Linked DNA regions of Arabidopsis thaliana. The protein of the gene in region 1 purifies or fractionates together with the protein of each later gene. This does not show direct contact. Each region holds a gene or a part of one and is shown on either strand. Other genes may lie near its edges.

Region 1 (3,754 bases):
GACTGCATAAAGACTCACAGACCTTAGCAGTTCCTCGCTGAGAAAAGAAGACGTGGATCAAGCCTTTGGTGGTATCCAGTTTTACCACTTGTGAGGCGACTTCAGCTTCCTGTAAGTAACAATGTGGTGGAAATTCATATTGATCATTAGTCGGGGAGAAAAGGTTAAAGAACTGACATACTATGAAGCGAAGAAAGATAGGTATCATACCTTTTCTAAACCAGCCCTTGGACCAGAAACAATACCTACTTCAATAGCGTCAAGGCACATTAAAGGGTGTTTCATATTGGGGGCACGCTTGAGTGTCTGTGCCTTGGCAAACGTCAGTATCTCCCTTGCCTCTCCAAGAGGAGGTAACTTATCAGTCTTGGAAACACTAGATACCCATGGTTTTCTCCTCCCGACTATGTCAAGGGCCCAGCGACGAGCAGTGGTTACTAACTCCGCAGGTGGCACCACAGCATCAATAAGACCCAAAGAATGACCTTCCTCAGCTTTAACTGGCTTAGATGTCTATATGTTTCAACAAAAGAGATGCTATTACACTTTAACCAAGGCACGCTAATGCTACCATAAGAATAAGGCACTGACATACCAAAATCATTTCAAGGGCTTTGGTGAGACCAACAAGACGCGGGAGACGCTGCGTTCCTACATCAATCCAAAGGAGTATAATTAGCATTATAAACGAAAGTGACTTGACTCATTCAACAAAAAAAATGAAACGAAGATCCTCTTCCCATCCTCAGCTCAGTATTATGCATTGAGAATGCCTTGACTTCTCCACGAGTTTTAAACCATATATTGATCAGAGAATTCAAGGACTTCACAGTCAGCGAAGTTGAATAGATACCTCCAAAACCAGGAATAACACCAAGTTGCAGCTCAGGCAAGCCTAACTGTGCAGCAGGAGCTGATATCCTAGCATGACAAGCCTGGAAACAAACCATACAACTGTATCACCATCCTTCCTCCTCAAAAGGATTTCTCGTGAAGGTAATAAATAACATAGAAACTCATACCATAGCAAGTTCTAATCCTCCTCCCAAGGCAAGTCCATCAATGGCAGCGACAGACGGTTTCCTAGCAGCTAAATCCAAGGAAAGAAATCAAATCCCTCAGCAACACAACTTACACAAGTATTCCATAAATCAAATAAAGTGGGTTTAAGTAGAAAGATCACCTTCAAGCAAGTCGGTTATGATGTCAATCGAAATGTAACCAGCCTTTGGCTCTTTGACTGAGAAAATTCATAACACCAGTATACGTTACTAACTAGATCAACACATACCACACTGATTCAATAACCAAAGATACAAAAGAGACAGAAACATACCATTCCCCTTCTGCATTTCACCAAAACCAGATATATCAAAGCCACCAGAGAACCTCCCCTTTGCACCTGTAGTTAAATAAAAAGGAACACAAAAGCCATTACCAGATCATCTCCAAAGTTTTCATAAAAAATGTTGTGTTTTTAGCGAGGAAGAGAATGATCTCCAGAAATACCAGTAATAACAATAGCTTTAACATCATTCCTGCTCAAGGCCTCCTCGTAATTACTTTTGAGATTGTATAGCACTGTACACAAATATCCAAAAACAGAGTCACATACAAAGAAAATTCACATAAACAGATCATAAATTCGATCGGAAGCTCAATTACAATCGGCGATATTTACAAAACCAAATCACGAAGCGAAATTGACCTAAATCTGAAGAGGTAAAATCCAGTAAATTCCGGATCATAAAAATAAAATGAATCTGAGAGTACGTACCGTCGAAGGATAGAGAATTGACGGGAGGATTGATGAGTGTTATGACGGCAACGCCATCGCCACCAACTTCCATCACCGTCTTCCCCTTGGTTCGTGAATCCATTTTCGAGCTTCGTTGAGATTTTGCGAGTCAAAATTTTCGGAATTAATGAAAAAGAGAGGAGACGTGAGAAATCAGATGATTATATAATTGCAAAAGATGATGACGTCAGTGATAATATGGTAGAGTGGCACACTCCTCAAAGCAACGGTACTTTGATAATGTTTTCGATATGTGAATTTTTATTTGTTATTCGTATCCAATTTATGTATAAGTTGAATTAATCACGAATTAGGAACAAAATATTTGCATTTAAACTCTGCGGATTTATTACTAATAAATATGTTTGGCTGGTCATAGTCCTGCGACTACCAAACTTGGCGGATCTTATCTTGATACTACGGATTTGTAACTAAGCGACCCTATATAGGATTTTACAGTTGTAAATAAACTTTACTAGAAAGAGTATCTCTTTTTTTTTTTAACATTATTAGTTTTTTTTTTTTGCGATTTATTTATGACATATAATCGATCATGCTGAATATTATATCTTGTAATATATGTTAATTCTACCATGACATCCGTTTTTTGTTTAATCAGATTAAAAAACAAATGTAAATGCAATCAATAGTTTTAGACAAGTATTCAAACCATAACTTGTTTTTTATTCTCTCTATTTATGGTCCGGTGAAATATCTTTTCACATGACTAAGTATCAACTTTCATACAGTTAACCATAACAGTAATAAAACGTCTAAAACTTAAGACTTCACTAACAATGATGGATTTGCTTAAAACTTAAAGGACGTAAACGAATATCTTCCAAGATCAAAGACGGTTGGCAAAACTCAAAAGACAAAAGACGTAAGTTAGATGTAATTTTGGGTTGGTAGGTAGCTCACTTTCCAAAGATAATGTTAGGCGTTTAGTGATGAAATAGATTGTATTTTGGAAGTAGCCTCACATTCACATCTCTAACTTGTTTGTTCATTTTTAATTGTTCAAACTTCAAAGTGTAACAAAGAATAATCAAGTGCAATCTTATGTTGGTTAAGGTTATCTTTCTTGCTTTAATGAATTCTGTCTATGAGAAAAGTGTGTCCACTTTGTAAGTCTGGCCTTTTGGCATTTTTCTTTTCGGCTTTAGTGGATCTGCTTGTAAAAGGCTTTTTTTGAAGTCGATATATATAGCCCACCATCTGAAGGAAAAAAAAAAAGTGATGTACATGAGGATACGCGTGTACCGTTGATCCTCTCCGTGATATTGCTGATGTGGCATAGATAAGCCAATCCGATAGTTTTTTTTCTCTTTTTCTTTTGGTACTAATCCAAATAGTTATTAATACTAATCAGTACCTTAGTCTTAATCCGGATACTCGAACAGAAACAAACACACGGGTACGTAACATTTATCTTTTTAAGCTCTCTTCTTAGAAACATCTTCCATCAACTCAATCTGTTTGTCTATTTCTTCTCCCTTGTACTGTTTTTTGTTTTTTACCAAAGACCAACCGTTCATAACAATGATCGCGCGACGGATCTGGCGAAGCCACCGGTTTCTCCGCCCATTCAGCTCGTCATCTGTTTGCTCTCCGCCGTTCCGGGTACCGGAGTATCTTTCTCAGTCGTCTTCCTCTCCGGCGTCGCGCCCATTCTTTGTTCACCCTCCCACTGTATGTTTCTTCTCACCAAATTTCCTTCCTTTTTCAGTTTTTTTTTTCAAATTAATTTTGAGGCATGACATTAGCTTCCGAGAAGCTCTTCTAGGCGGAAAAAGAAACATCGAAACTGTATAAATTTAGAAAGAAAATAAATTTATCAGAGAGACTTAAACTTGGAAAACTCTGTTTGCTTAGAATGTGTGGTTTTTCTGGTAATTTTTGGACAAAGGATCAAACAAGTTTGTCATATTTTTCACAGTTGATGAAATGGGGTGG
Region 2 (3,754 bases), on another chromosome or scaffold:
AAGAAGACAATTCTGCGCTTGTGCAAACTTCTTCACCTGAAATAACATAGTCCGTATTATAGTACGTATTAAAATAACAGAGCCAAGTAAGACTCCAGATAAGAGAGAATCAGTACCGCTGGGTTGACTGACCCTTCCCATGCCATTGGATTGGTAGTCATGGACTCCAAACCAGCCCCGATACCTGCATCCATCATATCGTCAGCTCGGTTCTCTATGAAAAAATGTGGCGTAGTTAAAGACGGTTATTCACTAACCAATGTCATAAAATCCCGCTTTAATGGCAGCGGCTACATCAGCAACAGCCTGAAGCCCAGATGAGCACTGTCTATTCACAGTTCTGACAGCCACGGTTTCTGCAAATGAACATAACAGGATGAGCATACAGGAAATAAAAACAAAGACTTTTCACCATTGTATTGTACTGTACATAGAAGAAACATACCAGGGAAACCAGCATAGAACGCAGCCATCCTGCATTCACTGGCTCTCTGAGATCCAGGTGCCAAAACAGTACCCACAACAATGTCACCTACTTCACTTGGGTTTAGATTCGTCTTCTCTATCAATGCCTATGTCAAGGAAGAACTATCTATAAATAGACGTAGAAAGGAAATAAAAACCAACAACAGAATAGAAAAGATAGCGACAGACCCTCAAAACAGGTGCGAGCAAATCATCGGGATATGTATCCTTGAAATTGCCACGTTTGGACTTGCATAGTGGAGTCCTATGTGCCCTGCAATGGATCAATAAGTGTAAGTCTATCAGAAAGAGACGAGAAATCTTCATACGTTGCTGAAAAACCAAATACCAAAAGAGTAAAAGCATAAGAGATGGGACTTACGCGACAATGACAACATCATCTCCATAGAGAGAGGTCCTCTGATATGCAGCACTGTCCCCAGCCAAGCAAGCAGAAGCCTGGGAATTTGGAAAGAACACGTTAAAGAGATCACACGTAGTAATTGAAATCAAGCTTTGACTTTTAAGAAATCATCAGTACATGCAGAGCACGGATAATTCAACCCAATCGAACAAAAATCAAACAACAACAAAAAAAAAAAAGATATCTATCTCAATCCAGTGAACGAAATACAAAAACAAAATCCAAGTCTTGAATTTGATCTCAATCGAGCTGAAACTTAAAATTTTCAGCTCACAGGCACGCCTCGAATCAAATTATAATTCAGCATCAAAATCAAAATCGAAAATTCCATATAATGAATCCAGATCAACAACGATCCATAATCCCCAGACTGCAAACACAAGAGAAGACAACCAAAAGATCGCGATAGATCGAGAGAGAGAGAGTGTGTGGTGATAGAATGCTTACAGATAGAGAAGCCTCGTAATTGTGCGAAGAAGAAGAAGAAGGTCGGAGATGCTCAAGAAGAACGCGTTGTCTCTCGATCGCTTTCTCCATTTTTTCCGGCTGATTAAAGATAAAATTCGGATCTGTTGTTTTTTCTCAGAGAAGGATTTGTTCTACACGAAAACTCACAGTCCTCGGGTTTGTGATCATTTATAAGGTAAGATGACTCACCGCTTTGCCCGTTCCGGGTAAATGATAATCCCAAAATAAGTAAGAATAAAAAATATCTCTTTTTCGTAATATTTCTTTGCTTAAACGACCAAAAAATATCATCTGTGACAGCGATACAAGTTCTTATCCTATAGTTGTAAAATCCAAATCAAACAGTTTTTAGCCTAATGACCTTACTCTAATTATGAATTAAAATGTTCACACTGGTTTGGTGATTGTTAATAGTGTGAAATAATTGATGATGAGAGTCATAGTCATAGATAAGCTGAGAGTGTGATAGAAGAAGATAAGATTAGGCGTGACGTTTGCCCCCGCCCGTTTTGGGCTTTGAAATGCGTGCCGTGTTTTTCATTTCCATCTTCTGGATCTTAATCTTCTTCATATTTACATAATAACCCCAACTATTTGTATTACTTCTATTTACGCCTTAAAGTTGCTATTAATTCTAAAAGTACCCTTCTTGAGACTTGATCGCTATTTTCTTTTTACGTTTTACCAACGTAAAGTTAAAGCCCATATGGTGTGATAGTTTGCAATACTATGGGCTCGGCCGGTTTAAACGAAATAAGAACGGATATTGTATAATAGTGAAAACTACATTTTCAATTAATAATGTTATTATGCGATTGACAAGCAGATGCAATAGTGTTTGAATAAAATTTTTATCAATATGAACTTTACTTAGGCATATATATTACCAATAATGACAATATGGCACTGCAACAATGCACATCTGCGTAAGGTTAGCATGTCAAGATCTCTTACACGCCGTGATACCAAATTTATATCGACTTGCAAATATGGGAGATTAAAGCTCTCTTTACTCAATTTTACTCAATCTTACAAACATTTGTGTGGTACTTTCCGGAAGTTTTCCGACATGTAATATTGAAATTAGATCGTGTAGAGAGTTATCAAATAACAAAAAAACTCGAGAAACTTTGTAGTTTTGTTATGTATCAGACTAGAAATTAACTCTAACTGAATGGAGAGATTAACATTGAAGAGGAAGAAACAAAACTGTACGTGATCAGCTTTACATTGTGCTTGTCTATCTTTACATTGTGATTATTGTAATATCGCCCTAATATTTTCGCATATAGTTGTCCATTTAACCTATTAGAGTGAAACATCTATATATTAATACTTGTCAATTTAATAATCATTGTAAATTAATAAACTTTTCCGGTTCAAAGTTGGACGAATATAATATATAACGTAATTGGATAAAAATGTTATTTGTTTTTCTTTGAATTTGTTTTAATTTTTGTGAAAAAGTCATTTTCAATATTTTTACTACATCTAAAAATTAACACTTATATAAATCAATAAAATATTTTATTCCCCATGTTATTAATTTATAATTTTATTTTACTGTATTAGCTCTTACATGCAACATCATAGACTTCAGTTTTATTTCTAACAAGATTATTTAATCTTAAACATCTATCCAATGTCTAATTTTTGTGAAACAATATAATATCTTATCAACTTTAGTTTTCAATCTTATCTTTTTATCTAATATACTTTGAGTTGGCAAACAAATCCTATGCAAAGAAGAGACGAAATTATTGAAAATGTTAATTTTCTTACTTAACCATACTAAATATCTTTATTCTATCATTTACTATATTCGTTATATTAACATATCTATGTTTTTTGTAAAGACAAAATGTTAACCAATAAATTTTACATTTTTAATAATTTTGTTTCTTCTCTGTATATATATTTTTTCCTGACTCAAAATTAAATGAGATAAAAAGATAATTGAATCTCTTATATATGATTTTAGGGTAAACATTCCCATATCTTATTCTTTTATATTATCTTTTTTTAATAACAAATACACATGTAAACTGTAAAGTATACATTTCTTATCTATATGAATGAAGTATAAATTTATTTAACACATACAAATTTAATAAATCATAAAAAATACCACGTGGAACTGTAATGTATAATGTAATGTGACACAATATACAGTCAAAACATTCCAACTTATACAGATTTATATAGATTCAAGCGGATATGCAAAAAGAAGTAGAAAAAGAATGAATCCTACATTTATTTCATAATTTATTAGTAGTATATATGTACATAAAATCATCTTATTCCATCTTAAAAGGATCCTTTCATAATATTATTCCTAAGTATTTTCCATATGGGTGATAGTAAAGATTGCGTTTCCCATATTTGTTAAATAAATAC

The links. The genes of interacting proteins can lie anywhere in the genome.
Region 2: the proteins of MFP2 (region 1) and PKT3 fractionate together in Arabidopsis thaliana (co-fractionation; one large-scale study listed by BioGRID). This does not show direct contact.

What each region holds. Positions count from the first base shown.
Region 1 is NC_003074.8:2,160,052-2,163,805, reverse strand, and holds the start of MFP2 (multifunctional protein 2), read right to left. Parts: upstream 2,072-3,754; 5' UTR 1,881-2,071; coding exon 1,778-1,880; intron 1,582-1,777; coding exon 1,510-1,581; intron 1,403-1,509; coding exon 1,337-1,402; intron 1,241-1,336; coding exon 1,184-1,240; intron 1,091-1,183; coding exon 1,023-1,090; intron 936-1,022; coding exon 854-935; intron 652-853; coding exon 596-651; intron 514-595; coding exon 211-513; intron 110-210; coding exon 23-109; intron 1-22. Other genes in the region: BCE2 (2-oxoacid dehydrogenases acyltransferase family protein), read left to right, coding at 3,341-3,490, 3,738-3,754. UniProt on the Arabidopsis thaliana protein: Involved in peroxisomal fatty acid beta-oxidation during seed germination. Possesses enoyl-CoA hydratase activity against long chain substrates (C14-C18) and 3-hydroxyacyl-CoA dehydrogenase activity against chains of variable sizes (C6-C18).
Region 2 is NC_003071.7:14,049,558-14,053,311, forward strand, and holds the start of PKT3 (peroxisomal 3-ketoacyl-CoA thiolase 3), read right to left. Parts: upstream 1,844-3,754; 5' UTR 1,427-1,843; coding exon 1,337-1,426; intron 925-1,336; coding exon 848-924; intron 740-847; coding exon 655-739; intron 573-654; coding exon 446-572; intron 357-445; coding exon 258-356; intron 185-257; coding exon 117-184; intron 37-116; coding exon 1-36. UniProt on the Arabidopsis thaliana protein: Involved in long chain fatty-acid beta-oxidation prior to gluconeogenesis during germination and subsequent seedling growth. Confers sensitivity to 2,4-dichlorophenoxybutiric acid (2,4-DB).